Sus scrofa: one gene and its partners. The protein of the gene in region 4 purifies or fractionates together with the protein of the main gene of each other region. This does not show direct contact. Links are inferred from orthologs where the notes say so. Each region holds a gene or a part of one and is shown on either strand. Other genes may lie near its edges. The genes, in order: BCORL1, TFDP1, L3MBTL2 and YAF2.

The links.
Region 1: the proteins of YAF2 (region 4) and BCORL1 purify together in Homo sapiens (affinity purification with mass spectrometry; 5 studies listed by BioGRID and IntAct, counting the BioPlex papers as one, with this or other methods). This does not show direct contact. The link is inferred for Sus scrofa from reciprocal best matches to the Homo sapiens genes YAF2 and BCORL1.
Region 2: the proteins of YAF2 (region 4) and TFDP1 purify together in Homo sapiens (affinity purification with mass spectrometry; 3 studies listed by BioGRID and IntAct, counting the BioPlex papers as one, with this or other methods). This does not show direct contact. The link is inferred for Sus scrofa from reciprocal best matches to the Homo sapiens genes YAF2 and TFDP1.
Region 3: the proteins of YAF2 (region 4) and L3MBTL2 purify together in Homo sapiens (affinity purification with mass spectrometry; 5 studies listed by BioGRID and IntAct, counting the BioPlex papers as one, with this or other methods). This does not show direct contact. The link is inferred for Sus scrofa from reciprocal best matches to the Homo sapiens genes YAF2 and L3MBTL2.

Annotation. Positions count from the first base shown.
Region 1 is NC_010461.5:106,546,526-106,550,575, reverse strand, and holds the start of BCORL1 (BCL-6 corepressor-like protein 1), read right to left. Parts: upstream 2,819-4,050; 5' UTR 2,712-2,818; intron 2,148-2,711; exon of another isoform or gene 1,997-2,147; intron 1,969-1,996; exon of another isoform or gene 1,783-1,968; intron 1,438-1,782; 5' UTR 1,327-1,437; intron 1,088-1,326; exon of another isoform or gene 365-1,087; intron 1-364. UniProt on the Homo sapiens protein: Transcriptional corepressor. May specifically inhibit gene expression when recruited to promoter regions by sequence-specific DNA-binding proteins such as BCL6.
Region 2 is NC_010453.5:78,754,284-78,758,360, reverse strand, and holds the start of TFDP1 (transcription factor Dp-1), read right to left. Parts: upstream 2,840-4,077; 5' UTR 2,704-2,839; intron 1,917-2,703; 5' UTR 1,854-1,916; coding exon of another isoform or gene 1,842-1,853; 5' UTR 1-1,841. UniProt on the Homo sapiens protein: Can stimulate E2F-dependent transcription.
Region 3 is NC_010447.5:7,274,791-7,279,029, reverse strand, and holds the start of L3MBTL2 (lethal(3)malignant brain tumor-like protein 2), read left to right. Parts: upstream 1-1,396; 5' UTR 1,397-1,518; coding exon 1,519-1,542; intron 1,543-4,239. UniProt on the Homo sapiens protein: Putative Polycomb group (PcG) protein. PcG proteins maintain the transcriptionally repressive state of genes, probably via a modification of chromatin, rendering it heritably changed in its expressibility.
Region 4 is NC_010447.5:73,494,536-73,498,882, forward strand, and holds the start of YAF2 (YY1-associated factor 2), read right to left. Parts: upstream 2,813-4,347; 5' UTR 2,552-2,812; coding exon 2,526-2,551; intron 2,111-2,525; coding exon 1,985-2,110; intron 430-1,984; coding exon of another isoform or gene 228-429; exon of another isoform or gene 47-227; intron 1-46. UniProt on the Homo sapiens protein: Binds to MYC and inhibits MYC-mediated transactivation. Also binds to MYCN and enhances MYCN-dependent transcriptional activation. Increases calpain 2-mediated proteolysis of YY1 in vitro.

The DNA of each region.
Region 1 (4,050 bases), on a different chromosome or scaffold from region 4:
GGAAGTGGAGGGGAGCTGTCCCGAAGGGAGGGGCGAGGACAGAGCGAGCTCCAGGGAGCGCTACGTCCGGGGACACGGAGAGGACGGCGCCCCCGGGGGGCAAGCAGAGCGGCCGGGGGGCGAAGAAGGGACAGGGTTGGGGAAAGGCTGAAGGTAGAAAGAAGCGGGTGGGGGATACGAGAAAGCCGGGGACTCAAAAGGGGTGGAGGGGTTGGGGGAGAGAAAAAAAAGACGCACCTGTTCCCGAGTCGGCTCCGCGGGGAGGCTCAGGCCGCCACCCGGACTCCCTCTTACCCCCTCGGAGCCACCACCCGCCTAATACTACCCCGATCTGATGCCCCCTCCGCCCCTTATCGCCACCGACCTCCTTCTCCTCTCTTTCGGCGGCGGCGGCGGTCGGACTCTAGGAACTGAGAGGAAGAAGGGAGGGCTCAGCAAAGCGGAGGAGAGACAGAGCCACACACTGGCAGCAGCCGCGGCGAGCGAAAGAGTGAGGGGGAGAGCGGTGTGTGTGTGTGTCTGTGTGTGCGAGCGAAGCCTGGTGGAGTGGGTGCCGGTCGCAGGGCTCGCCGGGAAGTGGAGTCCGATCGGGTTCGCGGGCGGCGCCAGCCCCCGCTCCGCGGGACTACAGCTCCCAGAATGCCGCCTGTGCGGGGGGGGGAGGAATGGGGAGGAGGAGGCGAAGGGAGGGAGCGAGCAAGAGAGGGAGGGACGAAAGCAGGGAGCAAGCGGCGGCGAAGGGGGCAGAGCCAAGCAGCCCCGGTGACACTGGGAGGGGAGGGGAGGAGGAGGGGATCGCTGCGAGGACCGAGCGGATTCCGGAGAGGGAGGCAGCAGTGGCTGCAGCAAGCCGGGCAAAAAGCTAGACTCCCAGGAGAGGCGGAGGCGCTCAATCCGAGGGGCTGCAGGAACCCCACGCCCCCCCCGTACGCCCCACGAAGGGGGAGGTTGAGGAAGGGAAAAGATCAGTGCCCCACGGCCAGGGGTTTCTCTTTCTTCCAACGCTTTCCACCTTATGCCCCGACCTGACTTTCTCAGGCCACCGGTGCTGGATCCAGTGTGCAAATCCAGAGATCCCAGATCTCTCCTGCCCCGCAGCACAGAGCAGACGCATTCAGTCCCCTTCTCCCAGGGGCCTGAGGGAGGCTCCCCTTGCTGGCAGGGCGTGACTCCCCCCTTCTTCCCGCCCCCCCGTCGCCACCCCCCCACCTCCCTCCCCGGAACCCCTCCCTTGAAGCCGGGGCTCGCGTCTCGCTCCCCGCCAAGAAAGGGAGTCCATCGGGGGAGACTACCCAGCCCCCTCCCGTATACTGGGCCCTTACCCACCAAAATCCCCTTCTTGGCGTTGCCCCCTCACTGAAGTAATAGTGGGGGTGACCGGAGTTGGACTGGTGGCTACTTTCCCTCCGAGACTAGCCGTCCTTGGCCACACCGACCCTGTGTAGAGATAGAGAAGAACATTAATACTCCCGTTCCCCCCCTTCAAGTTCGGATCCCCGTGGAAATGGCTCACAAGAAAAGAGGGGTTGGTAATTGAAGTGAGCTGGGGATGAATCCCAATCCTTAAACCTCATCCCAGGCGTGGAAATCCAGGGATTCGTCTCTTTCCTTAAAAGCCATCAAATCGCTTGGAGGGGGGAGTTAGTTGGGGGTAGATTATCCAAACCCCAATGTCCACGCGACTCGTAGCGACGCTACATGTAGGAATAAGATACGAACTAGGCTGCCGCCGCGAGAGAAAAAGTATACCCCCCCCGCCGTCGTCCACCCCCAAACACACACCCCTAGAAGAGTCAGATGGCCGAGGAGGTGGGGGGAGTCGGTGGGAGTGCTGGAGAGTGAAAGGGTTGTGGCAGGGAGGGTCCGCGGCCCCCTGAGAGCAGAATCCAGATGCTAAAGAGGTGGGTGGGGGGGTGCGGCATAATTGCAGACAGTGTCTCTCCTCGCTTTTCCCGGAATCGCCGCCGAACACCGTCTAACACTCGTAGTTGCTTACCAGTCAATCCCCTAGACCCATTTGTGCGCGTGAGGCGGCCGGAGCCCGGGAAGCCCGGGCACAAACTCCGCGGAAGCTGGCCTTCGCCGCCGCCGCGCTGCCGCGGGCCTCCCTCCCTCCGCTGGCGGCCCCGCCGATCTACCTTCGCCCCCGGCCGAGGCCAGACCCCGCTCGCAACTCCACGCCCCTACTCCACCCCCGGCTCCCCCTCCCCTCGCCCTCTCCCCGCGGGTCCGGCCCAGCCCCTAGCGCCGCCCCGCCCTACCGCTCGGTCCCGAGCCCAGCAAGTGCCCCGAACTCGCCCCCCGCCCCCACGCCCAGGCCACTCCGGCCGGGCCTGGTTTCCCCCTCCCGCCGCGCCCCGCCCCCGAATCCACGTCCTACTTCGCCACCCAACTCGGCCCGGTCCGGGTTCGGCCAGCGCCCAGGCCACCGGAGTCCCCGGTTCGGTCCGGTGTACGGCCACCCACCCCGCCCTTGCCTGGGTGCCGGCCTGGCCCGCTGCCTGCGCCCGCCGAGCCGACTCAGGCGTTCGGTCCGGGTCCGGATCCCGGTGCCGGCCTCGGTCCCGGCGGCGTTGCCGCGTCTCGCCACGAGGGCTCGGTCCACGCAAGACCCGAACCCGCGCGGGGTGGGGGCCGCGGAAAACAAGTTTCTTTATCTTCCCTCCGCCCCCGCCACAGGGCCGCGCCCCCCCCCACGGCGCCCCCTTCACCTGGGCATAGCCCCTTGGCCCCTGTCGCAACTTTGCTCTTCTCCACGCTGCCGGGGAAGCTGGCGAAGCGGGAGGAGGAGGGAGGTGGCGGGGTGGGTGGGGGGGGTGCTGGGATCAGGCCGCTGGGCTCCGGGAGGACACGTGGGGGAGGAGGGGAAGGAGGAGGAGGAAGGGGGGGCGGGCCTGCAGTTCTCGGGGCTCCCCCTGCCAGCCCCGGGGAAGCCGGAACCTCGCCGGGCAGCCGCAGACCCCGCACTGGCCACGGGGGAAGAACGGAGCCACCTTCTTCGGCCAGCCCCTGGCTCCAGGAAGGAGGGGGGGCGAGCAACGCCGCACGGGGTCGGAGAGCGAACGTTTTCGCTCGAGCTTTATGTGACTCTCTCTCTCTCTCTCTCTCTCTCTCTCTCTCTCTGTCTCTCTCTCTCTCTCGGTTTAGCCTCAGTGTATTGGGGGGTAGGGTCTTGCTTGCGGGGGGGCGCCCCCGCCGGACGCCCCGCCCCTCCCCCGGTCCCCCACTTCCCTAACCCGGGCGACCTCGGTGCGTGGCTCCGGCGCTCTGGCACTGAGGCCGCCCGCGGGTGCAGCCCCGGCCCCGGCGCCGAAGTGGGACAGGTGCTGGGGAAGGGAAAATGCCGGGGCTCGCTGCCTCGCCTCGCGTCTCCGGGGCGGCCCACCCTTCGTGGCAGCCTCCCGGGCTGCAACACCCCCCCACACACACACCGGGCAGACCTCCAAAGGGCAGCCCTCGGCCTGGGCGTGGAGGCATCGGGGGCGCGCGGGGGGGTGGGGTGGGCAGGAGCGAGAGGCCCGAGGGAGGAAGGAGGAGGGGGACGAAAGGTCTGTAAAGGGGGAAGCCTGCACGACTTGGGCCGAAAACCTGGCTCGAAGAGGGCTGGGCTTCTGCCCGCTTTCCCGGGGCTCCTCAGTCATCAGACTGAACCCCTTGACCCCTACCCTTTACCCTAACGACTCCTTGCCTGGCCAAAGAAATAAATCCTCGTTTGTGTTTACATCCCAGGCTATCCCCAGGACTGAAGGGCTGAGAAGCCTGCGGTCCACATTGGAACTCTGATGACTTTACATTAACTCGGAGGAAGAGAGCAGCTTGCGATGGAGCTGAAGCTGCCGGCAGACTTGCTTTCAGTCTAAGGGTGTTTCTTAGCAGCTCCAACCCTGAGTCCGTGGTGGGGACTTCAAAGGCATCTCCTCAGCCTAGAGAGTACTAGGGGAGGTGGCCAGCAGTTCCTGGAGGGTTCAGGGCTTTGTAAATGGAATGTGCAATGAATAGCAGGAATTTGAAAAAAAATCTTTATGTGCAGATATATTGATATTATTTATT
Region 2 (4,077 bases), on a different chromosome or scaffold from region 4:
TGGGTCTTCTCGGGGAACTGACCACCAGCAGGACGGCCCTCAATCGCCACCCTCCCCGGGCCTCTGCAGGCTGGCTGCCCCCATCAGTCCCCGAGTTTGTCCGCCTCCACTGGGACCCCCCGCCTCCCCCGAACCTAACGCCAGCCTCCCTGGGCCCAATGGCCCAGCTGGGGTCCCAGCCCACCCGCTTCAGCCAGAGGCTGTGCGAGGTGCTTGCAGGCTTTGACCTTACCCCCAAGGGCAGAGTGAGCCTCCTATGCCTGCCCCCTACCCCCCGACAATGGTCAGCTTCCCAGATTCCAATGTCACACCTGACCTAAGACCCAGCGCAGGGGGAGACGGGGCTGAGCCTGAGCGGCCCGCAGCCTCTGTCCCGCCAAGCACAGCCCTGGAGAGACCCGGTTCCAGCACACCTGCCGACCCCAACCCAGGACAGGCAAAGCCACTGCTTCTTACCTGGCTGTTCTCACCGCGACACCAACCTCCACTGTGTCACGTACCCAAGCTCAACGGGTGGTCCCCATCACCCCCACCCAGCCACCAGGTGGCCCACAGCGACCCAGCCTTCGCTGGGCTGACCTCCAGGAGTGACCTTCGGAGGAGGCCGCTCAGGAGTCTCCTGGAACCAGGCACGGGCCTGGACTGTCTTCCCATCCCCCGGATGCCCAGGGGGAGGGAGAGGACGCCTCCTCCAGGGGGTTCAGACAGGACGAGAGGCAAACTCAGCTCCCCACCTCCACCCACGATGGGAGGCATGGGGGCAGCTGCACCCCTGCTGAGCACCAGCTCCCGTCCTGCGTCTTCCGGGCGACAGTGGCAGAGAACTGGGCCTGGCCACTGACGATTAGAAGGTAACACCACCTGCACATCACACACAGACTCTGGTTTTAAGCTCAAACCCACCACACTAGCCCCGTGTTCACCCGCTCTGCCAAACTAACTGGCGCGGGGGCCCACAGCCTAAGGCCCAGCGGGTGGGGTGCCTTCCGACAGGCGCCCTGCAGAAGGTTCAAACCCGCGAGGTGACGGAGGCATCATGCCCGTTTCCTGGCGCCACCAACAGGGACGTGCTTTACCCTCCGGCTGTGTCTCAGGCAGATGCACGTCCTCAGAGCTGCATTTCCACCTCCACGCAACACACGAGTAAATAAATAAACTGCCTCTTTTCATTAATGTTTACGGAACAGCACGTCCTGAGACACGCTAAAGGAGGAGCCGGGGTTTCAGTGAATTTCACGGATGTCACCCAGGATCGAAAGAGCTGCCCAAATGATAAAAGCCGAAATCTTGGGGCCGAAAAGCCTACTTCTTAAAACAAGAGAAAAAAACTAACTCATCAAATTCTATAGCTCCCCGACAAATATAAAGCTAAAGTAGAATTTTTGCACCCCACTTCACTAGGCACCAAGTGCCACTTTTTCTGAGAAAAAAGGCTGCCAAACCCAGTGCTTAGCCTGTTACGGCTCAAAGCTGAAGTAACATCCTACACGGTACCTGCAGAGGATGCTCAGCGCCATTCCACCGAGTCCAGCGCCTGCCCAGGGTCCCCCACCAAGGCACTCAGATTTCCAAGTTAACCAGTCAGAAGAGACCCACAGATCGGGTCAGTCAAGCCCCATCGGGCATTGGCCCCCCTGGGGGCTCAGGCCTGCAAAGTACCCTCCATAAAGGCCACCGGGGCTCCTCTGGGTTCCTCACCTTTAGCGTGTTTCATGTGCTTTAAGAGTCTGAACATAAACGCTCCTGAATGTTGTGTGCTGTCATTCTGAAACAAAATCGGGAAACTACCAAGAATGTATCAGTAGGCAAACATGCGTCCAGCAGGAAGCAAACATACTTACATCTTTTGCCATGTTACCAGATCCGTGAAATCGATGCTATAGTTGTTCACCCTCCAGAGAAGAAAAATGACTTTTCTGGTAAAAAGAAGAAAGGAAAAGCAAGGAGTGAATAAGGATGAAATAAGAAGTTCACAAACCTCAGCGTTTCCCCCCAGCACCACCACCATCCCCACCGCGGCTCAGGGGAGCGGCGCCTTCCTCTCCATGCCCACACTCCACCCTCGGAGCGGGGCCGCAGAAACAGCCCCCACGCTGGGGATTTTAAAGTCATCTCAGGAATGGAAGCTCGTCCGCCACCAGAATGCCCGCCGGCCTCCCCAGACGCGCACAAAGAGCCAGCAGCGAGGCCGAGCCCGCACTGGCGGCCCGCGTTCCCACCCGGCGCAGCCCCAGTCTCTGCGCACACGCGCTCCCCACGGGCGCCCCGGCCCACCCGCGACCACCAGCCGACCCGTAACTCTGACAGGTGGGCTTCCGGGGTCCCGGCCTCCAGCCTGTCACTAGGCCGCGGCGGCCTCCCGCGAGCGCCCCCCACGCCCCGGAACCGGCAGTCGGCGGGCAGGTGGGGTCGGCGCCGCCGGGCCCCCGCACCCCGCACCCCGGACCCCGTGCGCTCGGACTCGGCCCGCCCCAACCCCCGCCGGGCGCAGACGCCGATGCGCGCGCTGCTCCGCCCGGAGGCCCCTGCAGGCCCCGACGGGGACCCTGGCCCGCGACCCCGCCGGGCCGGTCACCTGGGCGCCCACGCGGCGGCCCTGGCGCGCGGGGACCGGTCGGCGCACGCGGCGCGCGGGGGCGGGGGTCGGTCGGGGTCCGCAGGCGCCCGGCGCGTGCGCCCCTCCGGGACCCCGGCCCGCCGCACCTGGCGGGCGGGAGGTCGGCGCGCGGACAGCGGCGCGCACACGCGGGCGGGCGCGGAAGAGCGGGCGGTCCCGGCGGCGCTCGGCCGGGGTCCCTGCCCTGCCGAGGCGCCGGGGCGCGGGGCTCACCCTGCGAGCGTCGGGCGGCGTGACGTGCGCGGCGCGGTGACGTGGGCGGCGGCCCGGCTCCCGCAGCGCGCCTGCGCGCCTTTTCGCGCCTTCGGCTCCCTCCTCCTCCTCCTCCTCCTCCTCCTCCTCCTCCTCCTCCCGCTCCGCGGCCCGCGCTCGCGCTCCGGGGGGCTGGGCTGCGCCTGCGCGCGTCCGCATGTGCGCGCGTGTGTGTGCGCGCGCCGAGCAAAGATGGAGAGGAGGTCCCAGCCCCCGGGGCGCGGTGTTGCGCACGCGGGGGAGCTGGGCCGGGGATATGCGCACGTGTGCGCACGCGGCGGACAGGGACTAGGGGTGCACGTGCGTATATAAGCACCTGGGGAGGGGGACAGAAGCTGAGGAGGTGTGCACCTGTGCATGTACACGGGTGTGTGTGCATCCGGGGAATGGGGGGTAGGAGTGTGTATACACGTGTGGGCACATGAGGAACAGGGGCAAAGTGTGCAGGTGAGTGTGTATGCACAGAGGTCTGGAGCCAGTGTGCAAGTGTGTGTATGTGCGCGCGCGTACCCAGGGGCTAGAGATGCATTCATGGGTGTGCACACGGAGAATGGGTTGAGTGTGTGCGTATGCACGTACAGAAGTGCGCACATGGGGGGGCGAGTGTGTGCACAGTGTGTATACGTATTCGAGAATAAGAGAGGTTGGGTGCCCATGGGCGTGTAGGGGCGGGTGCATGTGTAGGTGCGCAAGGAGAGGAGGCCAGGCGTGTGCGTGTGTAGTTGCACCGAGGCGAGGGCCGTGTGCACCCACAGCGCAGAGAGCCCTGTCCACCTGCTGCTCCTGTTCTGAGCTGCCAGCGGCCTCCGTGCCCACGCCCAGCCTCCAGCCAGCCTCAGAGCATTCTCAGTGCAGGAGAGTTGGCTCCTCATCACTGGGTGGGCTGGACCTAGTGGACGCTGAGCCTCGGAGACTCGTCCCCTCTGGGCGCCCCCGCAAGCACCAAGGCCCCAGAGGGCATGGGCTCTGGTTCCAGAGACGCTGCGGAGGTCGGGAGGGGCCTGGGAGTCAAGTCCGAAGTTCATGAGCACAGAGCAAAGGCCTCTCATCTTGCAGGTTTCCACCCGGCCGCGGACGGTTTCCCAATTTAACCGCTTTTATGCTGATCACGCCCACTCTGCTTCTCCAGTAAAGCCCCTCCCGGCCTAAGACTGTTCACACCTTAGCGCTGGTTTCTTGAAGGGAGCAGAGATATTCGCGTTCTTTCT
Region 3 (4,239 bases), about 66 Mb from region 4:
GGGCTGCATCATGCTCATGGCATGTGAAAGTTCCTGAGCTAGGGATCAAAGCCACGCCACAGCAGTGACCTGAGCCACAGCTGTGACAACACCAGATCCTTAGCTTGCTAGGGAGCTAAGTCAAGCAGAATTCTTTTCTTTTCTTTTTTTTTTTTGGTTTTTTGTCTTTTTAGGGCCACACCCACAGCCTATGGAGGTTCCCAGGCTAGGGGTCTCATCAGAACTGTAGCCGCAGGCCTACGCCACAGCCACAGCAATGCCAGATCTGAGCTGTGTCTTTGACCTACACCACAGCTCACGGCAACACCAGATCCTTAACCCACTGAGTGAGGCCACGGATCGAACCCACAGCCTCAAGGTTCCTAGTCAGATTCGTTAACCACTGAGGCACAAAGGGAACTCCAAGAATTCTTAACTCCAAACTCATTCATTCCTTGTACAGTTTCTAACCACTACAGAATATGGTCCCACTGTCTACCTATCCAGAGTAGACAGGCACCTTTACCCAGAGTCACTCTGGATTCCTCCCTCTTCCAAACCTACTCCAAACAATTAATTACTGCCTCCAATATATTTCTCAAATTCTTCTACTTTTTTGCCAGCCTTCTAAGTCTGGCCTGATTCAAGCCACCATCATCCTTCCCCTGGATCAGTACAAGTGCCTTCTAACTTGTCTCCTTGCTGCTTCTCTCTCTCTCTCTCTCTGTTTTTGGCCTCACCGGTGGCATGAAGAAGTTCCTGGGCCAGAGATCAGACAAGCACTACAGCAGCAACCAGAGCCCAGCAGAAATAACTGCTGTATACTTAACTCCTTTCTTTCTCTTTCTCTCTTTCTTTTTCTTTCCTTCCTTCTTTTCTTTTTTCTTTTCAGGGCCCCAGGTGGGGCATATGGAAGTTCCCAGGCTAGGGGTCAAATCGGAGCTATAGCTGCTGGGCCAAGCCATCCCAGATCCAAGCCACGTCTGTGACCTACACCACAGCTCACAGCGACGCAGGATCCTTAAACCACTGAGCCAGGCCAGGGATAGAACCTGCATCGTCACTGATGCTAGTTGGGTTCCTAACCAGCTGAGCTACAACAGGAACTCTAAGCACCCTAAATTTCTAATCAGGGAGAGTGCGAAATTATTCCCAGCTCCTGAACAGTGCGTATCTTAGGTAGTCAATGATGTTTAATGAAGAATGGGGTCAGAATGATGTAAACAGCTCTACGTGGATAAAGGGTAACAGTCCCCGCAAGCCGCAGCAGGGCTAAGGCGGGGGGCTTTCCCCTTCGTTGTGGCAACGCCCGCTTCAGCACGCACCCACTAGGGAACTACAAGTCCCACAAGCGCCCGCTGCTTCCCCACCTCCAAGAGAGGCGGGCCGGGGGCTAGCGCGGAACCGGCTTTTCCTCTTTCCCGCAGCCTGATTGGCCCGAGGCTCTGAGAGGCGGCCAATGAGTGCGCTCGGGAAGAGCGGCCAGGCCAATATGGCTTCCTGCACCTGGTGACGGTCGAAGAAAGGGTGTTAGGTCTCATGGAGAAGCCCCGGGGCGTCGAGGTGAGAGGGAGCGGACGTCTCGTGCCTGGGGAAGGGAACCCCGGGAGCCTCACTCGGTGGACCCTTCCTCAGGCCTTTGAGCGACGCCTGGAGGGTGGAGGGCGGGAGGATGGATACACAGGTAGTGAGGCTGAGCGGGCCGGAGGCGATTGGCCGTGCTTTTTGCTCGCGCGCCGCTGGAGCCGAGGAGTTGAGGGAGGAGCAGCCCCTCTGGCCTAGGGGAAGGGGAGTGGGGTTCAGGATCTGAGCGCTCCAGCATCGTCTTCCTCCTCCTTGTCTCGTGGCGGTGGTCTTTCGTGATCGTGAGGGAGGCCTGTCACATTCCGATGGGAAGTAAAGGAAGATTAAAGTTTCATGAACAGTCCGTTTATTAAAGTTTAATAAACAGTCCGTGCCTGGAGCGTTCACGTGCATTATCTCTCCGATACTCAGCAGTCCTATGTTATTGTCTGGTTTGCATGGTTCGAGTGGCTGAGGCTTAGAGAGGTGATGAGCCTTCCCAGGAGAGTCACAGGGCTGTAAAGTGTAGATAGTCACTAAGTCTGCCAAGTTCCAAAACTCGACCTGTCTTATCTTTTCCACTGTACCACAACCTGTAACCCACTCATCCAGTAATCATTTGGCTCCTGGTCACCTTACATTTGAATTTGGTGACCTTTCTAGCATATTTGCATATGTAGGTTTGTTTTTGTTTTGTTTTTGTTTGTTTGTTGCTTTTGAGGGCTGAACCCACGACATATGGCCGTTTCCAGGCTAGGGGTTGAATCGGAGCTACAGCCGCCAGCCTATGCCACAGCCACAGCCACAGCAACGCCAAATCCGAGCTGAATCTGGGGCCTACACCACAACTCACCACAACGCCAGATCCTTAACCCTCTGAGGGAGGCCAGGGATCGAACCCACAACCTCATGGTTCCTGGTCGGATTGGTTTCCGCTGCGCCAGGAGGGGAACTCCTGTAGTTTTAAATATAAAGTGGAAGAGCTCAAAAACAATACAAGGGTCAAGGAGAATAACCATAAAGTGGAGAATAAAAGTTATAACTCAGTTTTGAACTTTCAGTAACTGCTGGAAACAGCTAGACTTGAGGCATCTTAGCAGTGTTCACAGCAGTCCTCTATAGAAGGTGTTGTTATTATATCCTTGGTACTGATGGAGAAACTAAGAGCAGTAGGTTAAATATCTTAACACAGAATCCCACAGGTGATAATAAGTGGGAGAACTTGGATTCAAACTCAGGCAAATCTGGTTTGAGAACCCATGCTTTTAACCAGTAATGACTGCCAACATTTATTGAGCACTTGCTGTGGGCAAGTCAATTTTCTGAGTGTCTTACCTATATTAACCCTTACTTCTCCCCCAAAGTCTGTGAAATAGGTGGAACTGCCCTCATTTACAGATGAGGAAGTCGAGGCACTGAGTTGGATCTGCTTCAGGCCATACAGCTAGAAAGCAGTAAGGATGGTATTGGATCCCTGGCCTAGAGCCCAAACTCCTCACACCTTTTCGACTACATGGCAGGTAGATTTATATATACATTATCTCATTTACATTCCTGTGAGCCAAATATTTTTCTTATTTTATAGATGAGAAAATTGAGGTGTCCCCACTGTGGCAAAGTGGATTAAGAATCTGACTGCAGGGAGTTCCCGTCGTGGCTCAGTGGTTAATGAATCCGACTAGGAACCATGAGGTTGCGGGTTCCATCCCTGGCCTTGCTTGTGGGTTAAGGATCTGGCGTTGCCCTGAGCTGTGGTGTAGGTTGCAGACACGTCTCGGATCCCGAGTTGCTGTGGCTCTGGTCTAGGCTGGCAGCTACAGCTCTGATTAGACCCCCAGCCTGGAACCTCCATATGCCGCAGGAGCGGCCCTAGAAAAGACAAAAAAAAAAAAAAAAAAAAAGAATCTGACTGCAGCAGCTCAGGTTGTTGCAGAGGCTCGGGTTTAACGCCTGGCCCAGCGCAGTGGGTTAAAGGGTCTGGTGTTGCCACAGCTTGCAGCATTAAGTCACAGCTGCGGCTCAGATTCAATTCTTGATCCTGGAAACTTCCATATGCCACAGGTATGGCCATTAAAAAAAAAAAAGGAGTTGCCGTCGGGGCTCAGTGCCAATGAACCATGAGGACGCAGGTTTGATCCCTGTCCTCACTCAGTGGGTTAAGGATCTGGCATTGCCATGAGCTGTAGGTCGAAGATGTGGCTCAGATCCTGCGTTGCTGTGGCTGTGGTGTGGGCCAGTAGCTACAGCTCCAATTCAACCCCTAGGCTGGGAACCTCCATATGCCCCAGGAGCGGCCCTAAAAAAAAAAAAAAAAAAAAAAAAAATTGAGAGACCCAGAGAGGTGAAATGACTTGCCTGAGAATAGTTAGGATCAGAGTTGAGTCCAAAGCTGTGGTATATACCACTATATTATAGCTAGTCTGTCATTTGCCTCCCAAATCCTCTTTAGGGCAGTCTGGATCCCAAATTAACTTTTCTCTGACTTAAATTGTTTGTTTTTTGGGGCCGTGCCCACGGCTTACAGCCGTTCCCAGGCTAGCGATTGGAACCTTGTGCTATAGCAGTGACACAGCTGCTGCAGTGACAGCACCGATCCGTAAACTGCTGTACCACAAGGGAAATCCTGACTTAAACTGTTTTTGAGTTGAAATTATTTTGCTGAAGGGGGAAGGATGAGTTTCTAAAATACATCTTTCC
Region 4 (4,347 bases):
TTCAGAGAGAGGAAGGAAGAAGCTGAGAGGGTCGTAGTGTCGAACACTTACTTTTAGGAACAGAGTGTCCCTTAGACTTCTGGTGAGTTGCCCAGAGCCTCTTCAGTTTCAATCCAAATGACAATGCTTCTCTGAGTCCTCCTCAAGTAATGTTTCCACCACTAAAAATTGGATCTATAAGAGCTCAGATGTACTGGTAAAAAATGTCAGGGGCCCCCATGTGGGCCTCAAGCCTCTTTTAAACTAGGCCCACTTCTCTGTCCTGGGCCAACTCCCCTGTGCACTATATTCCTTCTTCTTCCAGGTGCCAGGTATTCGGCCTGTTTCTTCTCTTCTGAGCTGCCACCACCTACTCTATTTCTCAGGGTTCCTCTAACCCCAAGACTGGCTGTGGAGTAGGACACCAGCTTCCCCCCTTCCTTGCTGTCCCTGCAAATAAACATATAAGCTCTTCTAGTTTCAGTATTTTTCTAATGGCTATAAGAAAATAGAGAGGGAACAACAAAAAGCAACAATATTGAACCAGAGGTTAAGATTATAATAATTGTCTCCACATTAAACTTCCTGCCTCCAAAAACCAGATTTTCTGAAAATTGCTTATTGAGCATTTAAAAAAATACAAAGTACTAACATAGATATACAAATATAATCTAGACCAAATCCAACCTTATATAGACATAAAGATGTAAAGATACTCTGCTTTCAAAAATAGTTTAATCACGGGTCCACATTCATTTTAGCAAAATTTTTTTCCTTTTAGCATGTTCTGTTATATTCCCTTGAATTTAATAGATGTTTGAAAGTTTGCCTTTTAAGACATCATGAAAATACTCAACATATTTTATCCAATGTAAATGAGAATATACCAAAAGTGAATTATGACTTACAAAAAGGTTATGTCAAAAGTAGCCAGCTTCACTGAGCAAATCTACAAATTTCAAGTTTTTGACAACTATTTCTGTCTCTACATTTTAAAAATTTAATAAAATGCTGTAAATAGTGTTTTAAAATCTGGATATCTCATTTTCAGAAATCTAACTTCTACTGAATATATATTAATACTATATAATCCTTTAAAAAAAACAGTTTATTGTATCAGTATAGGTGTGACAATTTACTTTCTAATTGACTTTAATCAAAAATATGTCATCTAAATACCAGGGTATAAATCACAGTAACTACGTGCTGGCAGATCAAGAATGCCCATGACTTTAAATTTCCTGAATGATTTTCTTTATCCACTTAATTCACTTAAGTGTTTTTTTTTAAAGACTGTTATCATACTGTAAGCTTGCAATGAAATAAAGGCTGAAAATACGCAAAGATTAATTTTATCTCATTCATATAGTCTAATAAGAGTGCCGTTTAATCAAACAAAATAAAGTCAGATACTTGCAGTAAAAATGTGTCCCTGTGACTGGGCTCACCTCAACTATTTATAAAATGTTAGAGAACTGGGGTAAAGACACTACACAAAACCCTGATCTGACCCTTCTAGACGTTTATATTAAAAAAAAGCTTAATCTACTATGTATTCTATAATCAGATACTTTTTTGAGGAAGGAAATTAAATTACATCTTTTGCTTCTAAAGAGGATTGCATGGTGCTTCTTTGATTCCTACACACTAACACAACAATGCAGCCTACGTTCTTACATCCGGAATGTGTGCTGGGGAAAGGGGGATGCGGCATTACACCCAGCGATATGAATTAAATCATTAAATCGCAGTGGCTAATGCCTCTCTTTAATAATTTATTCTCTCTTGGCAGCAAGAAACGTTACAGCCTCTTCAATTTCCCTTCACCGCAAACGAGCGCTAGGGTCGCGATCAACGTGACCCAGTTCCTATCGCGGACACCACCTCAGTCTCGCCTCCGCCCGACGGGTGGGCGAGTGTCGCGGGAGGGGACGGCAGCCGCAGGGGCGTCCTCGGCGCCTCGACCCCGCCGGCTGGCGGCGCGCAGGGCAGGCGCGGGACTCACCGGGTGGAGGTGCCCTTCCGCACATCGCACATCATGCACTTGAAGGCCTCGGCGCTGTTCCGGAAGGTGCAGACGCTACAGTCCCAGTAACCCTCATCCGAGGACGGCTTCGGCTGCCGCTTCGGCCTGCAGGACACAACCCGGACACGACGCGGCGCGGGGTCACCAGCAGGCCGCGCCCGGGCCCCGCGGCCGCGCCCGCCCCGCCCCCCGCCCCAGGCCCGCGACCCCCGCCCCGCCAGCGCCCGGCGCGCCCGCCTCGGGCTCAGAGGGGGAGGGGAGTCAGGAAGGCGAGGGCGCGAGCGCGGTCGCAGCCGCCGCCTCCGCTCGGACACCCCGGCCTGCCGCGCCGGCCTCCGCCATCGCGGCTCCATTGTGGGGCGGCCGGCGCCGGCCCCTCACGCGGCAGCGCTCGCGCAGCAGCGGTGCCGCCCCCGTTCTAGCCCCGTTGCCCCGGCGGCGAGCGAGACGAGTGCCCGAAGCCCGCCGCGAGAGCCCCGTCGCCTGTACAGTCCGGGCCCGGGGGCCCGGGCGCTGTTACCTGGTAGGGCTCTTCTTGTCTCCCATGGCTTGGCCACAAACGCACGCCGAGAGTCGCCGCCGCGGCCGCTCTGTTTGTCAATAAGGAGGATAATAAGCCGGGCGGAAGCGGGCGGGGGAGGAGGGAGGGGGCGGGGAAGGCCGCACCGCTGAGCTCCGGAGCCGCCGCCGGATCCCACGCAGCCTCCAGCTGTCGGGGAAACTCCTGCCTGGGCCACGTGACCCACGCGAGCCAACCAGCGGCCGCGCCGGAGACTTCAAACGCGGCCAGCGCGGCCCAGCACTCCCGGCGAGTTCGCGGGCGGCGGCGTGGGGGTGGCCATCCCAGCCTCCCGCGCCGTCACCGTCTCTCGCCCGGTGCCGCCCGCTCCCTCTCGGCGTCCGCGGAGCCCCTCTGGCGGGGGAGGCGCCGTCCTCCCGCGCGAAGCCTGGTCCAAAGTGGGGCCAGCGTTCAGAGGTCAGCCCGGCCCCGGACCAGAGTGCGCGGCCGCCGTCTCCAGGTGGAACCGCTTTCCGGGCCTGAGCGGTCCTTGGCTCCTCAGCTCTAGCCCTAAGGATACCCGGGGGAAGGCGGGAGCCACCCGTCAGCGCCATTGCTAGGTGCCCTAAGCCACTTGCCTAGTTTTGTGCATAGAAATGCTGGCCAAGTAGGGATTGTCTCCTTAATTTGGAGAAAACGAAACCCAGGTTCAAGAGAGGTTAGGCGACTTCCTCTATATTACATAATTAGAGGTGGTGAAGCCAGGAATCTAACTGTTTTAATTCCAAATGAGCTCTCCTCGCCTCTCAAGCCTCTACAGTAGCTGCTTTAAAAACAAACAAACGAAAACAGCAACAACAGCAAAAAAAAAAAACCAAACACTCAAAAGACCTTTTCCCTTCCTTTTAAATAACGAGTTTGCGTGTGCCCTGTTAAGAACACGTTCCTAGCAGGTTTCATTACCGCAATGTACTGGATGCCCTCATCTTCTACTAGACTCTAGCAACAGCCATCCTACTGGTCTCTCTCTCTCTCTGAAGTTCCAGCCTCACCTTCCCAATCTTAGCAGTAATTCGCAACCAGATTAATAATAAAATGCTGGTAACGTTATGTCACCACGCTGATCAAGAACTTTGGTTAAAGCTCCTGGACTCTTAAGCCTACTAACACTTTTTAGCACTCTATGCTGGCACTTTGTAAGTCTCTTTACACAATGCGTGTTTTTAAAAGGGCTCAAAGTGCTGTGCAAATATTCCCATCAAGTAGCCTATCCCTTCATTTGAAAGACAAGGAATATAGGGACCAGGTTAAATGAGTTGGCTAGGTTTAGAGCTCAGATATGCTGTCAGTCTTTCTGCAAGCCGCTCTTCCTTTTTTATTTTTTAAACTGAAGTATAGTTGATTTACAATATTAAGTTTCAGGTACAGCATAGCGATTCAGTATTTTTGCAGATTATACTCCACTTTACATTATAACAATGGCTATAATTCCCTGTGCTGTACAGTTTATCCTTGTTGCTTATCTATTTTAGACATAGTCCTTTGTGTCTGTTAATCCTTCACTTCTAATTTGTCTGTCCTGCTTTCCTCTCCCCTTTGGTAACCACAAGTTTGTTTTTTTCTCTCTGTTAGTCTATTTCTGTTTTCAGTCCCTGTTTTCTAATTAACCATATCAATTTACAATTTACAGCTCTTTCTGAACTCAGTGCACCATCTGTATTTTTTGCAAGCATCACTTCTTACGACTCAGACCTCGATTGAGAGACCCAGAAACCATGAGGAATGTGATTAAGGAAAGCAATTAAGAGAAGAGATCTAAGGCCTAGTCTTCAATCTCTCAGTA